7 linked regions of the Canis lupus familiaris genome follow. The protein of the gene in region 1 interacts with the protein of each later gene in a pairwise test. Links are inferred from orthologs where the notes say so. Each region holds a gene or a part of one and is shown in the gene's direction. Other genes may lie near its edges. The genes, in order: LNX1, NECAB2, KXD1, PRR13, CUTC, MTMR9 and METTL21A.

What was found.
Region 2: the proteins of LNX1 (region 1) and NECAB2 interact in binary tests that used the Homo sapiens proteins (3 or more experiments, as listed by UniProt). The link is inferred for Canis lupus familiaris from reciprocal best matches to the Homo sapiens genes LNX1 and NECAB2.
Region 3: the proteins of LNX1 (region 1) and KXD1 interact in a two-hybrid assay, tested with the Homo sapiens proteins (2 studies listed by BioGRID and IntAct). The two-hybrid records come from large-scale screens. The link is inferred for Canis lupus familiaris from reciprocal best matches to the Homo sapiens genes LNX1 and KXD1.
Region 4: the proteins of LNX1 (region 1) and PRR13 interact in binary tests that used the Homo sapiens proteins (3 or more experiments, as listed by UniProt). The two-hybrid records come from large-scale screens. The link is inferred for Canis lupus familiaris from reciprocal best matches to the Homo sapiens genes LNX1 and PRR13.
Region 5: the proteins of LNX1 (region 1) and CUTC interact in a two-hybrid assay, tested with the Homo sapiens proteins (3 studies listed by BioGRID and IntAct). The link is inferred for Canis lupus familiaris from reciprocal best matches to the Homo sapiens genes LNX1 and CUTC.
Region 6: the proteins of LNX1 (region 1) and MTMR9 interact in binary tests that used the Homo sapiens proteins (3 or more experiments, as listed by UniProt). The link is inferred for Canis lupus familiaris from reciprocal best matches to the Homo sapiens genes LNX1 and MTMR9.
Region 7: the proteins of LNX1 (region 1) and METTL21A interact in binary tests that used the Homo sapiens proteins (3 or more experiments, as listed by UniProt). The link is inferred for Canis lupus familiaris from reciprocal best matches to the Homo sapiens genes LNX1 and METTL21A.

What each region holds. Positions count from the first base shown.
Region 1 is NC_049234.1:46,800,672-46,804,171, reverse strand, and holds part of LNX1 (E3 ubiquitin-protein ligase LNX), read left to right. Parts: intron 1-1,754; coding exon 1,755-1,957; intron 1,958-3,500.
Region 2 is NC_049226.1:68,820,894-68,824,393, reverse strand, and holds part of NECAB2 (N-terminal EF-hand calcium-binding protein 2), read left to right. Parts: exon of another isoform or gene 1-301; intron 302-693; exon of another isoform or gene 694-2,142; coding exon 2,143-2,279; exon of another isoform or gene 2,280-3,500. UniProt on the Homo sapiens protein: May act as a signaling scaffold protein that senses intracellular calcium.
Region 3 is NC_049241.1:44,892,169-44,895,242, reverse strand, and holds part of KXD1 (kxDL motif-containing protein 1), read left to right. Parts: intron 1-284; 5' UTR 285-305; coding exon 306-406; intron 407-1,827; coding exon 1,828-1,980; intron 1,981-3,074.
Region 4 is NC_049248.1:44,879,484-44,883,591, forward strand, and holds the start of PRR13 (proline-rich protein 13), read left to right. Parts: upstream 1-1,308; 5' UTR 1,309-1,403; exon of another isoform or gene 1,404-1,659; intron 1,660-2,405; exon of another isoform or gene 2,406-2,433; 5' UTR 2,434-2,453; coding exon 2,454-2,472; intron 2,473-2,822; coding exon 2,823-3,187; intron 3,188-4,108. UniProt on the Homo sapiens protein: Negatively regulates TSP1 expression at the level of transcription. This down-regulation was shown to reduce taxane-induced apoptosis.
Region 5 is NC_049249.1:12,809,896-12,814,155, forward strand, and holds the start of CUTC (copper homeostasis protein cutC homolog), read left to right. Parts: upstream 1-1,460; 5' UTR 1,461-1,618; coding exon 1,619-1,679; intron 1,680-1,779; exon of another isoform or gene 1,780-2,119; intron 2,120-2,579; exon of another isoform or gene 2,580-2,834; intron 2,835-4,260. Other genes in the region: cytochrome c oxidase assembly protein COX15 homolog, read right to left, coding at 1-37, 1,227-1,316. UniProt on the Homo sapiens protein: May play a role in copper homeostasis. Can bind one Cu(1+) per subunit.
Region 6 is NC_049246.1:26,746,151-26,749,650, reverse strand, and holds part of MTMR9 (myotubularin-related protein 9), read left to right. Parts: intron 1-449; coding exon 450-591; intron 592-2,363; coding exon 2,364-2,584; intron 2,585-3,500. UniProt on the Homo sapiens protein: Acts as an adapter for myotubularin-related phosphatases. Increases lipid phosphatase MTMR6 catalytic activity, specifically towards phosphatidylinositol 3,5-bisphosphate and MTMR6 binding affinity for phosphorylated phosphatidylinositols.
Region 7 is NC_049258.1:15,864,235-15,868,357, reverse strand, and holds the start of METTL21A (protein N-lysine methyltransferase METTL21A), read left to right. Parts: upstream 1-1,323; 5' UTR 1,324-1,608; intron 1,609-2,471; exon of another isoform or gene 2,472-2,559; intron 2,560-2,710; exon of another isoform or gene 2,711-2,780; intron 2,781-3,130; 5' UTR 3,131-3,174; coding exon 3,175-3,321; intron 3,322-4,123. UniProt on the Homo sapiens protein: Protein-lysine methyltransferase that selectively trimethylates residues in heat shock protein 70 (HSP70) family members. Contributes to the in vivo trimethylation of Lys residues in HSPA1 and HSPA8.

The sequences.
Region 1 (3,500 bases):
TTTTAAATCGCCATTGCCTGTCACCAGACCTGTTCCAACAAATGCTTATGGTAACGCCTACTTAATGTAATCAAAGTAGTTTAAACATTAATTGAAAGCAATCACCCAAGTACTGTTAGCACCAGGAACTGACGGATTAAGGCCGCTGCCCACAGCCTGCCAGCAAAGCCAATCTTACATTAAATTACATCCCAGCGGAGGTTAAGGACGCGCATTTGCAACGTCTCAGGCTTCCTCTGGCTGCTAAATTGCTTTGTTGATCATGTCCTACGGTACTTTGAAGTCATTTTAATTCTTTCTGTATTGTTCCTGGAGAGTTGAGCACTTCTTAATGAACTCATAGTTCATTAGGGAAAATGGACTAAGGTCATGGGTTTTGAAAACAGGGCTCATTATGCAGAGCCAGACCTGCTGTTTCCCCCCTTCCCAGCTGACTTAATGAAGAGAGAATCTTAGGGCAGAGGCAGCTGTCGGCAGCTAGAGGAGACAAAAGCATCCCGCCCACCGCATCCAAACTCAGCAACCAGGGAGGAGCCGCCGGCGCCACCAAACCAGGTGCAGCCTGCCTGGCATCCCACGGTGCCCCTTCTGCACACTTCTGTGCAGACAGTGCTGGCTTATGGGTCTCTCCGGCGAGTCCCCCGTGGGACCCTTGTGAATCCCTGGTTGTTCCAAAACCCCAGGGAGGTGACAGGACGGCAGGTCACCTGGAGCCCTAGGGTGTGACTGGCTCTGACGGCCACCTTACATTGCAGCCTCCAGCAGACCAGGTCACTTCCCCACTCTCAGCTCAAACGCCCTCACATGCAGAATAAAGCCGCACTATGGTGTCTGTTGCTGTTAAACCAGACGACTAAGGAAGCTCTTCTGCATGTGGGCCCAGTGGTGGGGTCGGGTTGGGGTGGGGTGCGGTGGAGGCTGGTGTTGAAGGGACCCGGGAAGGATTTCATGGGGAAAGAAGAGTCTTCCATTCAAAGGTAAAGTCTGAGCTCTCTGCATCTCCTGTTAGCTCTGAGTTCAGCAATCCCGCCAGAGCAGGGATGAGCCTCCAGATGCCACCACCTCTCCTTGGTCAGGGATCGGGCTGGCTGACTTCCCTTTATTGACAGCAATGTCTGGGAGGGAGGCCTGGGAGTGCCCTGAGCCTGAAGAGCAGGGACTGCCGGGGAGAAATCTTCAAAATGGCCTGAGAAAGCAGAAAAGCTGGTTTGGTCTGTTCTGTCCCTCGACAGGGAGGCGCTGAGCCTGTGGTCTCTCCCTTAGTGACCCTTCGTCCTCATGCACCCCTCCACCCTCAGGAGGCTCTGGCCTGCGCTCGTGATCTGTACACACAGCCACAGGACAGCTGCAAACAGTGTCCTCAGAGATCTTAGGGTCCCGGGGGAGGATGAATGAAATGAGCATGAATGACAACAGAGGGCTCAGTGCTGGGGAGAAATACAAGCTTTTGGGGTGGGGGGTGGGGGGCGGAATGGGATGTTTGGACAGAGCAGGGCAAGAGGGACCAAGGTAGAGCTTAATTGAAAGGGATCATTTCATGCGAGTCTTGAAGGAAAAATTGGGTCTAGGCCTAGAATGAAAAACATTCCAGGCAGAGAAACCGATGCTGGCAAGGAGGCAGGAAAATGGAAAACATGTATGAGGAACGATGAATAGTTTAGTTTGGCTGACACCAAGGTTTGGCAAGAAGAGGAGGGCTTGGAAATGTCTGCCGGGTGGGTGTCTTAAATAAATACTGTCTTTGTCCATTTTAGTCTTTCCAAGGTTGTATCACCTGATTCCAGATGGTGAAATTACAAGCGTCAAGATCAATCGAGTGGATCCCAACGAAAGCCTCTCCATTAGGCTCGTGGGAGGCAGCGAAACCCCACTGGTCCACATCATCATCCAGCACATTTACCGCGACGGGGTGATTGCCAGGGACGGCCGGCTGCTGCCAGGAGACATCATCCTGAAGGTAGGCCGCAGTCGTGGTGGGGCCGGGAAGAGGGGGCTTGCTAAAATCCCTTCGGAGCAAGTCAGCGGATGGATGGAGGAAATGCCAGATGGATGGGAAGCGGTCACTTTCTAGGGTTGTCACGCCGATAGGGCTCTTTCCCTGAGAGTTGTCATTTAATGGAGATAGGTCTTTGCCCCTTCTGTCTTGTCCTTATAGCCTCTGCCTCTTTCTGGGTAAGAGTATTTCTGTCTCTGTCTTCCCCTCCTTCCTCGTCTCCCCTCCAGCTCCTGTCCCTGCTTCCCTTTCTCTACCTCCTTCTCTTCCTGTCTCCTTCCCAACCCCTCCTCCCACTTGAAGTAACCATAACATAAAAGAATATGAAACTGGAGCATCTATTTGTCTTCTCGTATTGTTTTTAGAGCAGGTTAATGGAACATGTCATCTTGGATCTGGTCACTCCCTTTCACACACCCCCCTTGTGGGAAACTTCCTGTAGCTTAATGGCCCTCCATGAGAAAACCCAAAAGGTGAGGCTAAGCTATTCCCACCAAGGCACTGACCTTCCAGGGCGGGCAGGAGGTGGAACAACACACCCTGGGCCTTGCTGTGCTCAGGGGCTTGGGTGAGAGGAAGGATGCTAGGGAAGACTCTTGAGCAGAAAGGACAAAGGGAGAGTTGTTCATCACACAGAGGTCGGACGTGCGGCGAGAGTGACAAGGAATCCCTCCCTGGCTGTAGACTCCCTGTCTGATACCCAGAGAAGAGTTTCATCCCGTTCAGGGGCCAGCTCCTGATACAGCGTGAGCTATTTCTCTGCCAAAAAAAAAATTATTATTATTATTATTATTATTATTATTATTATTATTATTTGGAATAAGAAAGCATTTAAAGCAGCGATCAAACCTCCCCCTGGTCTCTGGGGTAAAGCACAAGGCCGGGCCCGTCAACCTCTAGAGACAGTCCACAGTGCAGTCAGTGGACTCTACGTGGCTTCCCTCCAGAGGGAGGGAGTTGTTCTGCCCGGGAGGGTCACATAAGACATTCTGATTCTTAGGGCCTTCAGGTGGCCCTTGCAGGCCAAGGGCTGCCAGGACTGTCCTGCAGATGACCCCGGCCTGGGTGTGATGGGGGAAACGAGACACAGGATACATGACAGAGCGGAGCAAGGGCTTTAAGCTCACCTGTGCTTGGATACAAGTGGTGAGGCTTGTCTGTGCACGCGAGCCTTCATCCATCCCTGGAGAGGCAGAAAAAAAAAAAAATGATGATTGTGTCCTGCAGGAAGACCTCTTAAAATCTCACTCTGAGCCTCCTCTATCAATTGGCTGCAAGTACAAGAAATCCGACCCAACCACAGAAGTTCAAGAAGGCTGTCTCTCTCCTGTGGGGCCCCGGTCCTGCAGACCCTGCGCAGAGTGTGGGGCTGCTGCGAGATGGTTTTCTTGCAAAGCAGTGACTCCCGCTAGGGGCTGAGCCTTCCGGCTGGGCCTGCTTAGCCAGAGTAATTAAAACCAGAAAGCCCCATGGGGCATCAGCCCTGCAGATAATTAATGAGGCACAA
Region 2 (3,500 bases), on another chromosome or scaffold:
GGCTTAGGCATCGATCATGGTGGAGGAGAAATCTGTGAAAGCTGCGTGTTCATTCCTTTGAAAATAACTTGTCTTTTTGGAATTCAGCTAAGCAGTTACACTCGTGGATCTTTGCAACCTCAGCCACTGGTCTGGCTGCTTCTAATACACTTACTTCAACTCATTTTTCTGCCCGCTGGCTTTTAGCAGGCTTTCTCTTTGCATTTAAATTTCTTACCAGACCATAGCTTCTTGTTCTTGTTGGCCATTCATTTGTCCAGGGCCCATTGATCCCTGGATTGACTACGGTTTCAGCCGTTTGCTAGGGAGGATAATCAGTAATTGAAATGCATTAGGTGACCAGAACCTCATCTACCTTCTGCCACAGATTCACTGTGTGTTGGGGCCTGTCTCCAGCGTTGGCATGGGACATCCCCCTCACACATCTCCCTGTGTGTGTGCCTGCTTCTCCCACCCCTACCTCTGTTTCCCTCTCTGTCTCTGGTGGTGGTTCCTTTGTACACTCATTGCTAATTAATTCCCAGTCAGAGTGATGGATGGCTTAATTTGCTTTCCTTGAAAGCCCGGTTTTCCCTGGCCTTGCCAGAGCCTGGGCAGCTGGCTCGGGAGGGTGGGGTCTTGGCAGAGGAGGTGGGAGAGCTGCACAGGGTTTTGGGGTCCAGCATCCCCAACACAGTGCCATTGGATCCTTACCGTCCTTGTGTGGCCTGGCCAAGTCAGAACCTTCTCAGTGCCCCTGAAAGCCTTCCGAAGCCAAGGGAATCTCAGCTGGATCCTAAAGCCTTGAGAAATGTCTTTGTCGCAGACTCTTGACAGAAGGGGAGATTCTCACAACACAGAGCGAGGTCTGTGGAAACTCTCTTCCTCCTTCTTTCCCCCACAGTTTCTCTCCTCGTGGCCTCTGAATCTCCTCTCTCAGTCCATCCCAGGTTCTCCACTGACTCCCTCCTTCTGAGACCAAGTCTCCGGCATTCTCTGGAGAGGAGCCAGTTGAACCTCTCTGGTTGCTTTTGAGTCTTTCATTTCTCTGAGTTGCATCATGAAGGGTCAGGAGCCCAAGGGATCCTTCTTGGAGGAAGGAGGGGAACAGGGTTGTGTCATACTTCATCCCTGTCAACAAGAACATCAGGAACATCACCACCAATGAGCTTGCTTATCACCACCACCCCCACCAGCATCGTCTTCACCACCACATCACTGTCCTCATCACTGCCATCATCACTGTTGTCATCTTCATCACCATCACTATCCTTACTATCACTGCCACTATCATCACCATCATCGTCACTGCCATCATCTTCATCACGACCACAACTTCATCACCATCACTGCCACTATCATCATCACCACTGCCATCACCACCATCACCATAATTATCGGTGTCATTGTCTTCATTGTCACCATCATAGTCATTGTCATCACCTTCATAACCACCACAACCATTATCATCATCTGCTGTTGTCATGTTCATCCCCACCATCCTCCTCATCACCATCAATCGTCATCATCATCATCACTAGTATCAACATGGATGGTGACATCATCCATATCATCATCATTGTCGTCATCTTTATCATAGCAGTTACAATTCATTATTTGCTATGACAGGTACTACGTTGGGCATTTTATTTTTTTAAGATTTATTTATTTATTTGACACAGCATGAGCAACAGGGAGGAGCAAGGGGAGAGGGAGAAGCAGACTCCCCACTAAACAGCCCGAGGCGGGACTTGATCTCAGGACACATGATCTCAGATCATGACCTGAGCCAAAGGCAGATGCTTCACTGACTGAGCCCCCTAGGTACCCCACATTGAGCATTTTCTCTACGTTTTGTCATCCAGTCATCTGTGTGACCTTGTAAGATAGACACTAGAGTGACTCCTCTCATGGTCGCAGAGGTCAGGAGCTAGTATGTGGTGAAGCCAGGGCTCCAGCCTCCATCTCTTAATCCATAGCCCCCACCCTGGTGCAGGAGCCCTACAGTGTCCAAGATGCAAGAGGTGCCGGGGTCCCTGTTTCATCCTGTGAGGCAGAGACACCGACCCCAAGTGCACACCCAGCTCTATGCCAGACCCCACACCTAAATCCTTTCTCTGACCCCTTTCCCAACTGGGCCCTTCCCTTCCCTCCCCTCCACAGGTGTACGAGGGCGGGAGCCACGTGGACCAGTTTGTGACACGCTTTCTTCTGAAGGAGACGGCCAATCAGATCCAGTCGCTGCTGAGCTCTGTGGAGAGTGCAGTGGAGGCCATTGAAGAGCAGACCAGCCAGATCCGGTGCGTCACTGGGACCACAGTGTCACCTGGGGACATGTCACATATGCACACAGCAGCCTGCTTCCAGGGACCATTTGTGTGCTTGGGGGCTGGGGACCTTGGGCAAGGGGCTACACCTCTCTGTGCCTCTTTGTCCCCAGCTCTGAAGTGGGGACCATTATACACCTACCTCTTCAGTGACTGTGGGTTGAATGAGACGGCATATGTGCAGAATGATGCCGGGTGTGTGTGCATAACCTGCGTGCACCGTGTACACACGTCGAGTTAAGACTGTTCCCTAGACTCATCAATTGTACCACTCACGTTATTGTTTGCCTAAGACTATTCTATTATTTGCCTTATTTTTGAAAGCTGGAAATCAGTTTAGGAAGCTACGTGGTTACCACAAGTGGAGAGGTTTCCATGTGCCATAAATGAAGTAGCTATAAAACCAAGCACCTGTGGTTGCAGACAGTCGCAGAAGCCCGGGGCCTGGCCTCCCTCCATCTGTTAGGAGGAGAGACTGGGGAAGCCAAGAGAGGCCTGGAAGAAAGAGTAGCACCAAATCCTGACTCTCTCTGCAGGATTGAAGAGAAGCAAAGTGAATTAAGTGACCGAGGGCCTTGTTTGTGTGTCAAAGCCAAGGAAAAGCATGTGTGTTGGGAAGGCCAGCCTGGGGTCCAGAGAGGAGCAGTTCTCCCTCCAGGCCAGCCCCTGGTCCCCCTCACTTTTGCTCTGTCCCAAGTTGAGACAAACCCCTCTCTGCCCTTCTTTCCAGAACAGCCAGTGCATCTGGTGCAGAGGGGACACAAAGAGGTAGAGATAGACAGGAACAAGAGCCAGGCGTCTACACTGCTGGGCCCGGTGTGCCATTCCCAGATGGGGGCTCGGTGGGGCCAGGGTGAGGGTGGTTGATGTGTCGGGGTTTGAGCAGGTGATTCTTGGCTGCTGAGGGCTGGTCCCAACCAGATAGGATTGCAAAGGCTGTTCAGTGATGCTGTTCCCAAGATTTGTTTGGAGCATCTGTGGGCAAATCATGTGGGAAATGGGAAATGCAGATCCCTGGCCTCGGCCATGCCTGCAGGTTGGGAGTCCCTGGGAGCCGAGCCCAGAACTCCACATTCGCGCTCAGCCTTGTGATTCTGAGGGTCCCCAAGGTGAACAGCCACCGCTCTGGAGGCTGACACAGAGATTTCCTGCGTTTTTTGGTCACTATCTTGATTAAAAAGTTCATGTGTTCCT
Region 3 (3,074 bases), on another chromosome or scaffold:
GATGTGGGAAGAGACTGACAGATCTGTGCAGGTAGAAGTGGCCATGGCCTTGGGCCTATGGAGAGTTGGGGCCGCAGAGGTGGGTGGGTGATGGAATTCTGATGTACTTGGGTGCAATTTGCAGATATGTCCTCCCAACACCCCTGAATTCTTAGGATGACAAAGCTGTGGCTCAGGTGGTGTGACCAACTTATGGTCATGGGGCCCGGGGTTCTGAGACCCTCCTTCCATCCCACCTACCCCAGTGGCTGGTATAGACTGAAGACTCTTCCTGCTTGTTTCAGGCAGCGGAGGAGGAAGAAGAGATGGACCCCCCGGACTCGGCCTCGAGGGTCTTCTGCAGCCGCATCCTGAGCATGGTGAACACAGATGACGTCAATGCTATCATCCTGGCTCAGAAGAACATGTGAGTGGTGGCCAAGAGCTGTGGGCCCCGGGCGTGGGAAGGAATCCACTTGCTGGCCAGCATTCTTGCCCTGCCCACCCCTACCCTGGGCCCACACTGGTGATAAAATGAAGGAAATGAGCAAATTTGCCGGCTGGCTCCAAAGTAAATTCCTTCCTGGCCTGGAGGCGAGGCCTTGGCACAGGAAGCAGGGCTTTGGGATGGTTTTGCAGCTGCGGATGGCTTGGCAGGGGCCGCAGCAGCTCCTATCCCAAGACCTGGAGTGGGGAGTGGGGGATAGGAAGGAGCTGCAGGAGGGGATCTGAGGAAGCCAGTGAACTGATCTCCCATTAGGAATCTGGTCCCTCAGAGCCTAGGCTGTCTCTGCAGAGTACTCATGGTCTTTTGGGGGGGCCGTCAACACCCTTTGCCCTCCTTGGGGCTTGGCATGTGACCACCACAGCCTCACCCTAATTCCAGCCTGCTCTGTGGGGAAGAAAGGCTTACACAATCTTAGGGTGGAAACACAGACTCCTGTGGCTTTATTTTTGTGTATTTAAGACAAAGTCTCTTCCTTCCACTTATGACACAATACAGACCTGATACCCTTCCACTTCTCTCATCCTGTGACAAGAGTGCTGGGTTTGTCTGGGTCAGATTTAGGCCTGGCCTGATGAACTCCCACAGTCAGGGAAGACAAAACCAGACACAGACCTTCCTGGCCCCATGGTATCAGGGCTGGGCCAGAGGAATAACTTGGGTCTAGGAAGTCCAAGGAGTCAGAGTCTGCTTGAGAGGGAGGAAAGGCTATGTGAGAAGTATGTACTGGGTAGGATTTTAGGGGTTTTTGTTTGTTTGTTTTTATCTGTTTGTTTGTTTTTTAAAGATTTTATTTATTTATTCATGAGAGACACAGAGAGAGAGAGAGAGGCAGAGACACAGGCAGAGGGAGAAGCAGGCTCCATGCAGGGAGCCTGATGTGGGACGCGACCCCAGGACTCCAGGATCATGCCCTGGGCTAAAGGTAGGCACTAAACCACTGAGCCACCCAGGGATCCCCCTTAGTTTTTGTTTTTTAAAGATTTTATTTATGTATTTGAGAGAGTGCACACAAGAGAGCACAAGTGGTGGAGAGGGAGAAGTAGGTTGCTCATCAAGCAGGGAGCCTGATGTGGGGCTCGATCCTAGGACCCAGGGATCGTGACTTGAGCCAAAGGCAGCCGCTTAACCAACTGAGCCACCTAGGTGCCTTTTGGGTAGGGTTTTGAAGGTTGAACAGGAGTTTGCTAGATGGCTCAAACAGCAGGTAGAGTTTTGTAGGGCAAGGGAATAATACATGTAAAGATCATGAAGCAGGAAAGGGCTTAGCATGATTAGTTTGTGGGGCATGGCAAGTTTGTAGAGCATTGTGTGTAGGGCTGGTGCTTTCTCACTGCTGCCAGGCTGGACCGCTTTGAGAAGACCAACGAGATGCTGCTGAATTTCAACAACCTGTCAAGTGCCCGCCTGCAGCAAATGAGCGAGCGCTTCCTGCACCACACAAGGACCCTGGTGGAGATGAAGCGAGACCTGGACAGCATCTTCCGCAGGATCAGGTGGGTCCTCAGCCCCTCCAGCTTCTGCCTCCCCCTCCGAACCTCAAGTTCCTCCCCTGTTCAATGAAGACCATCCACTCCCTATAACAGAGCAATGAAGGAGATTTAGCTCCTTTGCTTTATGAGGCTTTAGCGCTCACTTAGAATCTGAGAAGTTCTGAACTTTGGGATAAAAAATCTTGAAGTTTCTGAATTTAAGTTTCATTTATCTTTTGCCTAATGCAAAAGGCAGGCAAGTGCAGCCAGGGGAAGGCAAGCCTCTGGTCCCTCCAGCCCCCAATTCAGGTCTTCTCTCAAGAGGTGTAAGAAATTGCCAGTTTTTTGTGGGTCCCTTCTGAGCTGTTTTCTGTGACGAAACACAGAATGCTCGAGGCAGCACTCAAGAGCCTGCATCAGTGCCACTGTTAATGACTGTGGCCACATGCCTGGGCCTGGAGTGAGCCAGAGCTGCACCCACAGTTCCCCTACTGATGGAGTCACTTCCTCGGCCCTGGGGGCAGCCACACCCACTGGCAGAGCAGAAATCATGCGATGGGCCAATTAAATTTAGAAAAGCACATATTTTCTGGGGCGTCTCATTGGGCTGGTTGCCCAGGCGTGGTGTTGGGGGTGAGCTGGAACCCCAAGTATTGGCACCCTTTGTGCATATCTGTATCGCCCGGGAAGAAGAAAGTTATTTCTGCCCAGTTGCCCTGTGGGTAGGGACCCAGCAATGGTAGTACTTCTGGTGGGGACTGGTTGGCCACGGTCAAGGATGAGACTCCACCCCAAAGATCCCTTTATCATTCTTTTTAAACATGACTTTATTACTTTGCGGGGAGAAAAGGACAAACAGCTGGTTAGAAATGAAGCAGGCATTTCTCTGTGAACAACATTTTAATATGTGCAAGGTACGTGGTGTCTGGAATGGATAATCACTCCTAACACAGACACTCTCATCCCAGTGATGGGGGACCAACTGGAACAAGTCACTCAGGGGAGTGACTGCTGAGGATGGAGTGAGGAAGCCTCCTGGAAGGTTATCTGGACAGAGGAGGGCAGACATAAGAAGGGCATGGCAGGTAGAGGGCCCAGCTAGGCCCAGCATCAAGGAC
Region 4 (4,108 bases), on another chromosome or scaffold:
CCCCAATTTTTTTTTTTTTTTTTACAAATTCTTGTGAGTCTAAGGATTATTTCAAAATAAAAAAAAACAAAATAAAAAATATTTTAAAAATCTATCAAAGGGCTTAATTCAAGATGATAGACAGTATACAATTTATCTTCTTAATATTTTTTATATATCCCACAAATTTGGGATGTAGTATTTTCAGTATGGCTTAGTTCAAAGTATTTAATTTCCATCATGGTTTATTCTTTGACCCAGAGTTATTTGGAAGCCTTTTTGTTTTCTTAAATTTCCAGATGTATATTTGTATTTTACATTGTGACCAGAGAATGTGGTATGTAGTGTACAATTCTTTGAAATTTGATTTATATTAGTTGAGACCCAATTTTTTTCTTTAAGATTTTATTTATTCATGAGAGACACAGAGAGAGAGAGAGCGGCAGAGACACAGGCAGAGGGAGAAGCAGGCTCCATGCAGGGAGCCCGAAGTGGGACTCGAATCTAGGTCTCCAGGGTCAGGCCTCGCTGAGCCACCTGGGCTGCCCCTCAATTTTTTTTAATAAGTAGCCTAAGTATGCTTAGGAAGAATGAGTATTTTTAAGTTTGGGGTGCATGGTTTTTTATGTTAATTGTGATTTAAAAAAAAACATGAAGCCATTGCAGCAATCCAGTAGAGAGACGATGATAGGCTAGGAGCAGGGACCATGGAGAGAAGCGGAAAGAATTCAGATTTATTTGGGAGACAAAACGAGCTCTTCGCGGCGGCGGCGGCGGGACAAGGGACAAGCCATCAAAGATGACCTCCTTGGCTTCTGCCTTATGCAATTCGACGGATGGCGGAGCTATGCAAGTGAGCTAGGGAATTCTAAGGGGGATTAGGAAATCTCTGTATTTCCCCCAAGAATGTTTCTTTACTTCCCACAGGGGAGAGGAGGAAGGTGGCGAAACCGAGGCGTGGGGCTGAGACCCGGCAGCTCTCCGCCGTCTCTTAGGCGCTCTGCAAGGACCTTGGCACCGCCTCGGTCACCTCTCCAGGCGTCGCACCCACCGCCCGAGGAGCTCAAAGGGCCCCGGTGCAGAGTCCTCCGGGCCTCCCCGGGCCTCCGCCCACAAGCCGGCCCCGCCCCTCCGAGGCCCGCCTTGGCCCCGCCCCCGGCGCTTCCGGCCCGCCCACTCCTCTGCGCCCTCCGGGGCCGCGCTCCGCCCCCGGGGCCGCCGCCGGCCTCCAGCCCCGCCTGCCAGAGTGATTGACGGCTGTGTTCTCCAATCACGACGCGGACGGGCCAAGCGCTCGCCAACCAGGCGGGGGCGGGGGCGGGGGCGGGGGCGGGGGCGGGCGCTGAAGCCCAGGTCGGGGAGCGGGGGGCGGGGGCCAGGAAGTGAGAGCCGAGGATGAGTCCCGCCCGGGAGGTGGTGTAAAGGTGACTGGGCGTCTGGGTTCCCCAGTTTCCTCCTTTCCTCGTCCCCAGGTCAGGGATCCTTGGCAGCCGGGAGCCAGGCTCTCCACTTGCCCTGTGGGCTGTGGAAGGGGGGTGTGTCTCCGTAAGACAGCGGTGGAGGCTCTTCCCTGGACGCCTTCTCCGGCTCCTTCCCGTGGCCTGGGGTGAGGGTCCTGCCTCCCTCCGCCTGCCCGGGCTGAGGGCGGTGAAGTTGTTTAAGATCCTTCCGTAGCGGTGGGTGAGGAAAGTCTTCCGGGCTCAGCCCCGGCAGGGGAGGGGGGGAGCGGACCCGGAGGTCGCGGAGGGGGGAAGGAGGGGAGGGAGGAGCGGACCCCGAGGTCGCGGAGGGGGTAGGGGAAGGGGGAGGAGGGGAGGGGAAGGGGGGAGGAGGGGAGGGAGGAGCGGACCCCGAGGTCGCGGAGGGGGTAGGGGAAGGGGGAGGAGGGGAGCGGACCCCTAGGTCGCGGAGGAGGGGAGGATGGGAGGGGAAGGGGCGAAGAGGGGAGGGGAGGGGAGGGGAGAGCGGGCCCAGAGGTCGCGGAGGGGGGGAGGAGAGGAGGGGAGGGGAGGGGGGAGCGGGGTCGGAGGTCGCGGGGGGGGGGGAGGGGGGGAGGGAGGAGCGGACCCCGAGGTCGCGGAGGGGGTAGGGGAAGGGGGGGAGGGGAGCGGACCCCGAGGTCGCGGAGGAGGGGAGGATGGGAGGGGAAGGGGCGAAGAGGGGAGGGGAGGGGAGGGGAGAGCGGGCCCGGAGGTCGCGGACGTGGGCGCTGTCCCGCGGAGCCCGAGGTGGTGGAAGGTGGAGGCGCGGGGAGGGCGCCCCGGGCCTGGGGGCAGCAGGAAGCAGGTGCTGAGCGCAGGGACGGTGGGGAAGGAAGCCTGCGGAGGTCGAGGCGGTTCCGCGAGTCCGGGAGGCGCTGCTCCGGGCTGGGTCTCTAACCCCCCTTCCCCCCCCCCCCGCCCCCCCCCCCCCCCCAGCACCATCAGCTTTTCGCCTTGGTTTCTTCCTCCTCAGGCTGCAGGGAGGCCCCGAACATGTGGAATCCCAATGCCGGTAGGTGCTCGGGGGCTCGGCCGCAACCGCTTTTCAGAGGAGCCGGGCACGGGGAGTTTCTGTCGCTTTCTCCGCCCCCCTCGCGCACAGAAGCGGTCCTCGCTCCTCCTCGGCTGACCCTGCGCTCGTCGGTCCCGAGTCACCGTCTCCCTCCCTCCCCACCCCTGCCGCCGCCCTCGCCTTCCCTCTGCCCACCGGCTTTGCCTCCCCGCCGCCCCACCTGCTCCCCCGCCTTTGCATTTCCCTGTAAGTAGTGAGTGAGAAACGGAACCCCCTTCTTTTTGCCCCTGTTTATCGTCAGAGGCTCTGAGCTCTTGGAATCCTAACTTATTCTTTGCTTCTTCCACCAGGACAGCCAGGGCCTCATCCATATCCCCCTAACATCGCGTACCCTGGAGGTGCCAATCCTGCCCATCCGCCACCTGTGAATCCCGCCTACCCCCCGGGCCCCTATCCAACTCCCCCAGGGGCTCCCCAGGGGAATCCAGCTTTTCCCCCTGGTGGGCCCCCTTATCCTGCGCCACAACCAGGGTACCCCGGATGCCAACCCACGGGTCCCTACCCACCTCCCTACCCACCACCTGTTCCTGGCACGCCTCTTGTGAATCCCTTGCCACCTGGCATGGGGGGACCGGGAATGGTGATGGACAAGAAGATGCGGAAGAAAATGAAGAAAGCTCATAAAAAGACGCACAAACACCACAAGCATGGCAAGGTCAGTGCCCCCTGGAGCTTGGCTAGGAAGGGGTGCCCACCACAGAGGCATGGGGGGATTTGCAGTCTGAGGACATGAAGCAGCCATTGTGTGGCTCTGGTCGACGGTTCTTCTTTGTAAAGTATTTCCACTGGTAAGAATCTGGTAATCTTGAAATACTAGGCAAATCGGGCCTTCTATCGAGGAGAGGCTAAGCTGAGCCATAGAATACAGAACAGAATCCAAAGCCCTTCCTGTCTCTGTCTCCCAGAACTTTTGCTCCACCCCCATCCCCAGACGCTTGGTTTAGCAAGTCAGACACCCCCACCTTCAGTGTTCTGGAGGTGCTGTGTTAATTATCACAGGGGCCTTTTTGTCCTACCACCCAGCAGGACTCTCAGTGACTCAGCCTCAAACAAAACCTAAATTTCATGCTCAGCCCCAGAGATGCTAGCCCTCAGCTAGTATCTTCATTCTAGAAGAGCGTTAACTAACAAGTAGCTCTCAGGACAACCCTGGAAGGACCGAACCAAGTAGCTCTCAGGACAACCCTGGAAGGACCGAACCCACCTGGATCTTCCTGGATCTTGAGGAGGCCTTAATTTACATTTTAGTGCCCAGTGTTTATTTGCCTTAGGGCTTTGGGCACTACCCCTTTCCGGATCTTTGGTAGGAATTGCAGGAGAAGGAAAGATATGAGGTTGAATGGGGGTAGAAATTGCCCTGCAGAGATGAAAAAATGTGTTTGGTGACAGTTGTTGGGGGTGTGCAAGTAAAGAACCTTGACTAGTACTCTCCCCTCCTTCCTCACTTTCTCCCATTTGGGGCTTAGGAAAAAGTAAAGGTAGACAGGCACACAGAGGCTGTTTCTTTTTTTTTTTTTTTTTTTTAATTTATTTATGATAGTCACAGAGAGAGAGAGAGAGGCAGAGACACAGGCAG
Region 5 (4,260 bases), on another chromosome or scaffold:
GCCTCAAGGGGCGCCTGATCCCACAGCTGCAACCACACTAAGGATCAAGACAGACAAATTATAACTGGAGCCGCATGGAAAGGCCTCAGTCCACTGCTCTCACACACAATCCCACTGTGCCTAGAGTGGAGTACCCCGTACGGCCACATCTCCACTGCTTCTGCCCTAGTAGACCATCATCTCCCATCGGGATTACTGCATCCACCCCACAACTGGTTTTCCTGTCTCTAGTTTTGCCTCACTCCAATCCATCCCCACGCTACATGAACCTTCTAGTCTCTGCATACTTCCCCCAGACTTAACTCTACACCTAGATATGGATTATTTTCTTTCTCTCTGACTGGGATGCTCCTTGCCCCTGATTGAGAATTTCTACTATAGATCTGTTTAGATGTCACCTCCTCTGGGAAATATTTCTAGACTCTCCCGGGTCTGCAACAGGTCACTCCCACAGCACACCGTACCTTCCCCATGTCAGCCCTTCACACATTACAACGTACTTCAGGTTCATCTGTCTCCATCCCTCACAAAGCTATGAGTTGTGGGACAGCAGTGTCTGGTCAGTCTGGCTCTTTCTCTCTGGGCACTTTCGTTCCTAACACAGTTCGCTTACATAACAACACCTTAATAGAGATTTGACAAATGAATTAACTGTGCCTTCCTCCAGGGCAGGAGCCTTTTGGTATTTATCTTTTCCTTCCCAGTTCCTAACACACAATAACCACTCAGTAATTATTTGCTGAGCGAATACAAGTTCTCTTCTGGCTCTGTCCCTGAGTCTAAAGATTCGTGCTTTGTTTCCTAACTTTAAACAACTTAAGCCTCAATTTCCTTCTCTGTAGAATCAGGTTATGGTGCCTTACCCGACTACCTGCAGGCTTTTAGCAAAAATCAAATACGTAGGTAAAAATGACTGAACTTTTATCATGTGCCAGACGCTTGCTGTATATGAGATTATTTAATCCTCAACACAACTTCTGAAGTAGGTACTGCTATTCCCATTTTACAGATGAAGACTAAGGTACAGAAAGGTTTCTTAACTTGGCCAATATCACGCAGCCAGTATACGGCAGGTTCGGATCCTACCTCAGAGGCTCTGGGCACAAAGAAATCCGTCGTGAATTCTAAGGAACTACTGCAATGTGATGTGGGGTTATCTATTATTTTTCTCCTGACTCTTTCGCCCCATGTCCTATTCCGCGACTAAGTCCACTGCGGTGCAGTACCTGTGCTCTAGGCGCCGCCCTAGGAACCAGGAGCCGGAGACACGGGCTCCCCACGAAGGCTTTCAGGGGCGGAAAGAGCAACCGCTGCATCCTGAAGACGGCGCAGAAATAAGCCACCTCCACCGCCCAGCTCTCGGCGGGCTCCCTCCTCCACCACCGAACGGAGAAGCACTTCCGGGTTATGCCGCACGGGCCCCTCCTCCTCAGAGGGCAAGGGCAAGTAGTGACTGCGCCTGCGCCAGCGACTCAGCTTCCGCGGGGGCTGCTGGGTCCGGGTGTCGGGGACGCGCAGGGGTGCGCGCAGCCGTGAGGCCGCGCTTCTTTGCTCGCGCGCGCCGGACCCCGGCATCCTCGTAGAAACCGAAGACGCACGAGGAAGGAACGCGTGGAGCATGAAGAGGCAGGGGGCCCCCTCGGAGCGGAAACGGGCGCGTATACCGTCCGGGAAGGCCGGTGCGGAAGGGGGCGGGAGGGGGCGGGAGGGGGCGGGAGGGGGCGGTCGGCCGATTTGGCCGTCGGGGGCGGGCCTGCGGGGGTTCTGGCAAGCGGGGTCGTGGCGATTGATTCTGTGGGAGTGCTCGGCCCAGCCCCTCACGCCCCGCCCCCCGCGCGCGGGCCCGTTCTGCCTTCCTGACTAAGCGTGTGGAAGCTGAGGGCCTGAGGAGGAGCTTGTAGCGAGAGTGACGCGACGTGTGGGTTCGAATCCCGGCGCCACCGCGTCTAGTGTGCGACGGTGTTCAAGTTGGTTAACTTCTCCCGGCCTTACGTCCGCATCGCCACGCGAGGCCGCCAGTCCCCGCCCCGTGGCATCTCTGGAGCAGTTAGATGCCGAGCGCTGAGCACTGTGCCGTCCCCCGGCGACCGCTTGGGAACCTGTAGCTGCTGCGCCGGGGGTGAGGGCTGTCCCCAAGCTGCACAGCTGCCCCAAGTCCCGAGAGCTTGCTGCTTGCTGTGCCAGGCGGGACGGCGTGGCGGGTGCTACATCCCCCCCACCCCCACCCCCACCCCCACCCCCACCCCCACCCCCACCCCCCTCCACCGCCCCGAGAACTCCTGAGTCCTCCAGACCAGTGGTTCTCAAGCTTTTTGGTCTCAGGGCCCCTCCCCTTTCCTATCGAGAACCTCAGCTACCGTTTGTTTATATCGGCTTTATCTATCGGTGTTGACCGTATTCGAAGTTAAAACAGAAATTTAAAAATACTTATTAGCTAGAAACCCATTACGTATTAACACAACTAACGTGTGTGTGTGTGTGTGTGTGTGAAAAATAACTATCTTCCTAAACAAATAGAATGCCAGCTTTTTATAGTTTTGCAAATCCCTTTAAGATCTGGATTAATAGAATTGTTATACCTGCTTCTGCATTCGATCTGATGTGTCAGGTAGCCTCTTGAAAATTCCACTCCACCCGTGAGAGAAGGAGAGTGAACAAGGCAAATGAAGCCTTAGTATTATTATGAAAATACTTCTCACTGCACAGACCCTGGAAAGGTCTTAAAGGCCCCGGGAGCTAACGGAACTACCACACTGAGAACTGCTCCGAACAAATGTCTGATTCCTACAAATAACCTGGCTTCCCGGACAACTGTCTTGCTCTGCCTTCTGTGATAGCCTTGTGTGCTCTGTGTGTGCACCGCCCCCCTCTCCTGGTGCTTTCTCCCGTGAGGCAAATGGCACCTCTGCAGCACTGTCCAGTTGGATTGACGTGACAGCTGGTGTGGGCGGCTCTGCAGAAACTCGGAGTGAATAGAGTGCTGCTGGCTACGAACATAGAGTGGCACTTAACTCTTTCACAGTTTGAGACTGAAAATCTTCTTTTAAATAAGTGAGACAGTTGTAATTTGATGTAAGCAAATGATAGGTGTTTGTTATTCAAATCAAAAATAGCCTTTTTAAAAATGATAAAAGCAGTATTGGATAGAGAAAAGCAACATAGAAAAGTAAAAGGGGGAGGCGTACCTGGGTGGCTCAGTCCATGAAGCACGGGACTCTTGATCTCAGTGCCCTTATACCTTGGGCTCCACTCTGGGTTCCACGCTGGGGATTAAGTAGAGCCTTCTTAAAAAAAAAAAAAAAGAGAGAGAGAGAGAGAAAGAGAAGGAAGGAAGGAAGAAGAAAGAAAGAAAGAAAGAGAAAGAGAGAAAAGAAAGAAAAAAGAAAAACGAAAGAAAGAGGAAGGTAAAAGTAATTTCAGATCCTATCACCTAGTAGTTAACTATTATCAGTATGTGGTAATTCTTTCAGGTATTATTGCATGAAGTATACATTTAATATTCTTAATTGTAAAAAAAAAAACACTTATGTGCTTAATTTACAGAAAAGCTCAAAACGTTATTTTCATCATACTTTTAGAGTCAATACATGAATGAAATTTGTGAATTTGTAATTACTCTCAGCCTTTAGTAAATCTTTGTATGACTATTCTGTCCCAAGGTAGACCCTGTGCTTGCTATGGGTGATAATAAAGATTTCTCATAGAAAGAGACCTTACTTAGGAACTTTAGGTCAAATAAAAGTGAACAGACATTATCTACATACATAATAAGAAGAAATAGAAAGTAATTAGTGTTTTAAAAAGAAACAATTAGGGACATCTGGGTGGCTCAGCGGTCTGCCTTTGGCTCAGGGCTGATCTTGGAATGCCAGGATTAAGTCCTGCATCGGGCTCCCTGTGGGGAGCCTGCTTCTCCCTCTGCCTGTGTCTCTGCCTCTTTCTCTGTGTCTTTCATGAATATACAGAATCTTAAAAAAAAAAAAAAAAACTAAAAACTAAAAAAATACTAAAACTAATGTTTTAAAGAAGAACATATAATTTATGAAAAGTTACATGAATTCAAAAGAAGGAGATTCCTACTTTGGGAGAGAGGAGATATGGAAATATGATTTAATGTGAGCCTTGGAAAATTTTACCATTCAAAGATGGAGCTGGCAGGACATTGTGGGTTGAGGAGATGGCATAAGCAAGAGCAGAGATGGGAACTGAGGGGAAACTGGAGGTATATAGAGGAAATAATATATTTATCAGTGATAACTT
Region 6 (3,500 bases), on another chromosome or scaffold:
CTTAATTTAGTTTTTGGGGTTTCCTTCAACTGTTTTTAGAATAATGGAGTCCCAGACTCCTCCTAAGTATCATGATATAGTAGTACCATTGCCACTGACTTCCTAGATTGACAGTTTTATGTTTCTTCTTGTTTTCATGTTTCAGAAAGTGTGGTTTAGCTATTGTTTCCTAGATCCATTACATTACAAGTAATGAAGGCATCCTTATATAGTCAGCTGATGGTAGAAAGGTAGAATCAGCATCAGAAAGATAGAGAAAAATAACTTTTAAGTGTATGTTAGGGTTTTTTCCCTAAGAGAAACTCTACATGTGCCTTATTTTTCCTCTAAACCCTACTGGACAGAGCAGAATGCATGAGTTTGAAATACTGTACTTAATAAATGTTATTAATAGAGTTGACTGATCATGTTAGGAGTATCCCATTTTGTACTCTGGATTTTCCTATCAGGGAAGGGGCATCCATATTGATTCATGGAACAGAAGGAACTGATTCCACACTTCAGGTTACCTCCCTGGCCCAGATCATCTTGGAACCGAGAAGCAGGACCATCCGTGGTTTTGAGGCCCTGATAGAAAGAGAGTGGCTGCAGGTGAGAAAATCTACTTCGTATGCACAGAAACTGCTAATAATTGATGTGATCCCAGTTTGCAGGAATGGATAGAATTTGTGAAATTTTGATTGATTAAAATGTTTAACCTGTATGTTTAATTTTCTGGGAGCAGTTAATCCTCTCAGTAAATGTTTATATATCCTCACTGCATCTCAATTTTTGTGCCTCTCTGCTTGTATTGCTCACTTGGTATTTCATTCCCTTAACAAACTCTTATTAGTTATACTTTGTTACCTATAGGGGAAATAACAAAAAATGTGAAACAGTCTCTGCTAGAGAGGAAAAAAAACATCAAAACCAGGAAGGGGGTGTGAGGACTTGTAATTATAAGGCATGTGCTCTAGCACTTTCTGCCTGTTGCTTGTCTGGCTTCACCTTATCCTCTTGCCTCACCAGGTGAAATCCTTCTTATGCTTTAAGATACAACTAAATGTCGCTGCTCTCATGCAGTCTTGGGACCTTAACCTTCATCACAGATAAAATCGATCCATTGTCTTCATGCCTTAGTCCTGAAACTACATCCAAATTAAGTGATTCCTTTGAGGTCAGGGAACCATGTCCTGTTTCTCTTTTATCCCTAGGACACAGCACAGTGCAATCACGTAATGCTGAATGACAACTGAAATAAAGGCTTCATGAAATAGATTGAAATCCTTTAAGTCAGAGATTAACTTATAAATGTATATACACTATGTAATTTAGTAAATGTGATTAAGAACAAATGTTTAGATAGATCTTAAAAGTAGAAGCATCTCTGGAGAAAAATCATTTCTGGCCCTTGTAGTTAAAATTTAGATTTATTATGTGTTAATGCTCTTACGTATACCATATTCACCTGCCTCACAACTGACCTGTATCTCTGTTCAAGTGAGACCATCCCAAATATTTGGTAAAAATCTCTTCAGCGACATTCATGATGCATAGCAAACAAATAGGGGAATGTGATTTACATACTTATATATTACCATTCCAATGGGTATCAAAACACCATTAGCTAGTGGAAAATGTTCATGACATTTTCTTTGTCAGGTAAGGTAGTATAAGGATCTAAAGATAAAAGCAAGTGTGTGAAATACCTAGAAGGGTATGATTTGGGTTAAGGTCAATACTCAGGTTCTGGGTGAGCCAAAGAGCCAAATGATTCTTAAATTTACTTTAGTCAGTAGAGGTCAGACTCTTCCAGTTCTTTTTTTGAGAGAAGAGGGAAGTAGGGACAATTTTATCTCTAATACAAAAGTATTCCTAAAGAATTTTTTTTCACATGTAATTAAGTATTCAGTATCAGGAGTGACTTTATAAAGTTTGTGTGTGAGAAACCCATATTTATTTCCATTTATGGGTGAGGCTTACATAGTTTACAACAATCTACCACACTTTGGATAGAGAAAAGGTGGTAGCTGTCTTTTGTGTGGTCCCTGAAGACCATATATTCTTTGACTTTGCTAGAAATTACAGACCTAGAAAATTTTACTTTATAGAATTCACCTAGCATAATTGCAGTTCTTATGGTTATGCCTTAACTGCACAGCCTTGTTAAATATTTGGAAGTCATGGTTTTTTTCCTTAGTTACTGAAAATTGTTTAAATTTATTAATTAAAATCAATTGAAATGATTAAACAGCAGCCATCCAAATTATATGGTGTTCCTTCAATAAGAGTTTTGTTGCAACTGTGTGAAATAATGGTAATAGAATGTGCTGTAATGTGCTCTCACTAGGCCATGACTGTCACATTTCCATCTTCTGTCTTAGGCTGGTCACCCGTTCCAGCAGCGCTGTGCACAGTCAGCCTATTGTAATAGTAAGCAGAAGTGGGAGTCACCTGTATTTCTTCTCTTCTTGGACTGTGTGTGGCAGATACTTCGTCAATTTCCTTGTTCTTTTGAATTTAATGAGAATTTCCTCATCATGCTCTTTGAGCATGCATATGCCTCACAGTTTGGAACATTTCTGGGCAACAATGAAAGTGAAAGGTGGGTACACTGCTTACATGGGATGGGGGCCATTCCGTTTGTATTTTGTTTTGGTCACTTCCTAAAAGAGACCAGGATTTGGTTTCTACATTAATGTTATTGATAAGATGGTAGAGGTTACAGCTAGTATAAGTTAAATAATATGAAATGTGTTATATGAGCCTATCCCATCCTAGGTGAGAGCATGTCCTAGACTTTTTTCTATTAGATTAAAATTAGTCCATACACTGATTTAAAAGCTTTGAGTAAATTGGGCAACCATTCAATGTTAATTTTCTTGTATAAGATCATGGCAATCTTACATCTGGAAGAAGCCTTAACATATAATCCAACTCCATCCTCTATCCAGTTTTATAGATTGGGAGGAGAGTATCTAGAAAAGTTAAATGACTTGACCAGGGACACACAGCCAGTTGGTCACCAATAGTGGGGTTATAATACAGGTCTTCCTTCTTTTGCTCCAAAGTTTATCTGTCACACTGTCCTCAGGTCCAGAGGGACAGTCTCACTTTATAGTCCAGACACCATCGAGTTTATAGGTTTAATTAAGAAGATTCCTATCAGAATGATCCTCAAAGGTGCTTAACTGGTAATCTCAGTTGGGTACAGTCAAAAGGCTTCCTCTTCTCTTTTTTCCTTTGTCATTTCAGCTAAAGGGACAGTTTTGTTGGTTTTTTCCTGGAACCACCTTTTGATTTCATTGACACTCTGTCTATTCTCTATTTCGTCTGTCTACTCTCTACTCTTATTCTTTCCTTCTTTCTGCTAGCACTGGTTTAGTTTGCCCTTCTTTTTCCAGTTCTTTAAGGTATGAAATTACTGATTTAAAAGTCACCGATGTGAGATCTTCGTTCTTTTTTAATGTAGGTTTTTACTGCTATAAGTTTCCATCTGAGCACTGCTTTCACTGGATCCC
Region 7 (4,123 bases), on another chromosome or scaffold:
GCTTAACTGGCTGAGCCACCGAGATGCCCCTATGTGGGATCTATTTTTTAAAATAGCCAAATTCATAGAAACAGGTTAGAATGGTGGTTGCCAGGGGCAGGGGGTAGGGGAATGAGGAGATGCTGGTTAGAGGGTACCAACTTACAGTTATAAGATGAGTAAGTTCTAGGAATCTAATATTCAGCATGGTGATTATAGTTAATAATACTGTAGCCTATACTTAATAGTTGTTAAGAGAGTGGATTTTAAATGTTCTCACTACACACGTGCACAAAGTAATAATTATGTGAGATGATGGATGTGTTAACTAACCTTATTATAATAATGGTTTTGCAGTATATACACGTATCAGATCATCACACTTTATACCTTAAACTTAAATATGTCAATTATATCTCAATAAAGCTGGAAAATAAAATAGGACCAAAAAAGTAGGCCAAAGACTCCACAGGCACTTCATTAAAGAAGATCCACAGATGGCAAACAAGCATATGAAGATGTTCCACATCACATGTCACTAGGGAATTGCAAATTAAAACAACTAGTACACACCTACCAGAGTGGCTAAAATTCAAAACACAACATCGAATACTGACAAGGACATGGAGCAACGGAAACTCTCATTCATTACTAGTGGGAACACAAAATGGTACAGCCACTTTGGAAGAGAGTCTAGTAGTTTCTTATAAAACTCAACATACTTTCACCATAAAATTCAGTAATCACACTCTTTGGTATGGACCAGAGGAACTGCGTAAAAAGATTAGCGGTTGCCAGGGGTTATGGTAGAGGGAGGGAGATCCACAGGTGGAGCGCAGGGGATGTTTAGGGAAATGACACTTCTCTATATGACGCTATGATGGTGGATATTTGCCATTACAGATTTGTCCAAACTCATAAATAAAATGCTCAAGACCAAGGATGAGCCCCCCAAATAACCTATGGTCTCTGGGTGATAATGCTGTGTTCAAAGAAGGTTCATCAATTGTAACAAATGTGCCACTCTGGTGGGGGGGGTGCTGATAATGGGGGGGGGGAGGCTAAGCCTGTGCTGGTGCAGGGAGTGTATGGGAAATCTCTGTCTCTTCTCAACAATTTTGCTCTGAACTTAAAACTGCACTAAAAAATAAATCCTATTACATACAATCTTAAAAATTAAAATAAACAAGCTGAGCAAAGACAAAAAGTTAGCCAAAGGCCTTCTTCACTGCTGATCCCTTCCAAGTCTCCTCTGCGGCCCGGCCTTCCGCTGGAAGGTTAAAGAAAAGTGGGGAGAGGCTCGCAGGCCCCCTGCAGGAGGGGGGAGGCCAGAGAGCGGCGGTTTAGGTTTGGCCTGAGGCTCCTGCAGCAGGTCGCACGGGAGGCACCGGGAAGGGCCCACGCTCGGTCGCCCGGCAGCAGTAGAGACGTCCCCGCGGCAGAGCCCAGGCGGGGCAGGTGGCGGGCGCCGCGGTCCTGCTCAGGCGCGGGGACGCGGAAAACCCCCGGGACGAGCGGCGGCAGGTGGGGCGGGGGGGGGGGGGGGGTGGCGCACAGCGGGAAGAAAGGGAGGACGGAGGCAGCTTGGGTCGGTGACTGTCGCGTCCGGCACCGAGGTCCCTGGGGCAGGTGCGCCCACCGCCGGCCCTGGGAGGAGGGGGACCAGGGAGGAGGGAGCCCGGGGAGGAGGGGGACCGGGACCCGGGGAGGAGGGGGACCGAGGAGGAGGAGGGGGAGCGGGACCCGGGGAGGAGGGGACGCGGGACCCTGGGAGGAGGGGGACCGGGGAGGAGGAGGGGGACCGGGACCTGGGGAGGAGGGGGAGAGCGGGGCCCGGGGAGGAGGGGGCCCGGGGAGGAGGAGGGGGAGCGGGACCCGGGGAGGAGGGGACGCGGGACCCTGGGAGGAGGGGGCCCGGGGAGGAGGAGGGGGACCGGGACCCGGGGAGGAGGGGGAGAGCGGGGCCCGGGGAGGAGGGGGACCGGGGTCCCGGGAGGAGGGGACGCGGGTCCGGGGAGGATGAGGAGGCGCGGGTCCGGGGAGGAGGGGCGCGGGGCCAGTCGCGCGCGGACTCCGAGTTCGCGCTCTGGACGACAGGGGCTTTGTCACTTCTCCTCTGTTGCCACCAAGCGGCGACGCCAGCGCCTCGGACGCGGAGGGCCGAGGACCCAGCACGGGGCAAGGCGAGGACGGAGGGGCGGCCGCGCACTCCTCGGAGCCCACTCGGTCCGCGGGCGACGGGCGACCCTCCGCGCTCGGGCCGGGCGGACGCTCCCCGTCGGCAAAGCCCGAGAGAAGCGCGCGGAGCCGCGGGGCCCCGGCCGGGGAGAGCCCGAGCCGCGCGCGCCCCCAGCCGGCCGAGGCCTCCCTGCCTCCCGCCCTCCCGCCCTCCCCGCCCTCGGAGACCGGCCCGGCCTCGGGGCTCGCACACCTCGGGCCGCGGAGGGAGGGAGGGAGGCGGGCCGGACCCCTCGGGCGCGCGCCCAGCTCACCTGCAGGCGGGGCCGGAAGCGTGTCTGCGGCCCGGAGGCGCTCGGGGCGGGCGGAGCGAGGCGCGCGGCGCGGGGCGGCTCCGGAGCGGTGAGTGGAGGCCGGGGGCCCAGCTCGGGCTCGGCCGCTGTGCCCGCAGGGCCTGGGGGGCGGCCTGGGCGCGGCCGGGGACCCCCCCGTTCCCGGAGCTCTGGGGCCCGCGCGAGGGGGTCGCGGACGGGCGGGCTCGGGGCTCGGGGCTCGGGGCTCGCACTTCCAGCCGGGGCGACCCGGGGCTGCGCGCAAACCGTTAACACCCGGTCCAAGTGCAGGTTCGGGCTCGTGGCCGTCGCTGTGGGGGACTTCAGAGCCGGCGGGGGGCGACCCAAGCTGCGGCCCGCGGCTAGAGCTCCCGCGCGTGCCCGCGTCCCCGCCCTGGGCCGCCGCTCCGGGCCCCCTGCAGCCGCGGTGCGCCCGCGGGGTCGTGGGCCCAGAGCCGACTCCGTGGCCGGGCTGCGGAACCGGGCGCCCCTCCCAGAAGGGGAAGGGCCTCGCGAGGGACTTAGCAAGCCCCCCCACCCCCACCTCTGTTGTCTTCTTTTGAACTTGTGAAAAATGGCCTTAAAAAGCATTTGGAGCTACTTAAGAGAGAATGCTTTTTTTATTTTCTCCCCCTGGCCAGAGCCTCAAGAGCTTTGAGGGTGCAGAGAGCTGAGTGCCTGCGAAATGGCCCTGGTGCCCTATGAGGACACCCCGGGAGTGGGGTTGCAGAAATTCCACAAGCCTCTTGCCACCTTCTCCTTTGCGAACCACACGATCCAGATCCGGCAGGACTGGAGGCAGCTGGGAGTCGCAGCAGTGGTTTGGGACGCGGTAAGTACAGCCACTGGGCCTCTGAAGACAACCACAATTCATTGTAAGAATGGTCTTTATTATAATTTTATTATTTTTATTTATTTTTATTTTTTTATGATTTTATTTATTTATTCATGAGAGACAGAGAGAGAGTGGCAGAGACACAGGCAGAGGGAGAAGCAGGCTCCACACAGGGACTCGATCCCGGGACTCCAGGATCACACCCTGGGCTGGAGGCAGCGCTAAACCACTGAACCATCCGGGCTGCCTTTTATTTTATTTATTTTATTATTTTTATTTTATTTTATTTTATTTATTTATTTTATTTTATTTTATTTTATTTTTTAATTTAATTTAATTTATTTTATATTTTATTTATTTTATTTTATTTATTTTTATTTTATATTTTATTTTATTTTATATTTTATTATTTTATTTTATTATTTTATTATTTTATTTTATTTTATTTATTTTATTTTGTTTTATTTTATTTTATTTTATTTTATTTTATTTTATTTTATTTTATTTTATGGTTTAATTTTTTTTATTTATTCATGAGAGGGGCAGAGACACAGGCAGAGGGAGAAGCGGGCTCCATGCAGGGAGCCCAACGTGGGACTCGATTCCAGGACTCCAGGATCAGGCCCTGGCCTGAAGGCGGTACTAAACCGCTGAGCCACCCGGGCTGCCCAATTATTATTATTTTTAATAACAGGTTTATTGAGATATAATTCATATACCAAACAGCAAGAAATTAAAGGTGCCAGATGGAGCAGGACGCTATGCTGTGTGGGCAGTGTCCGTGACTCCTGCGGTCCCC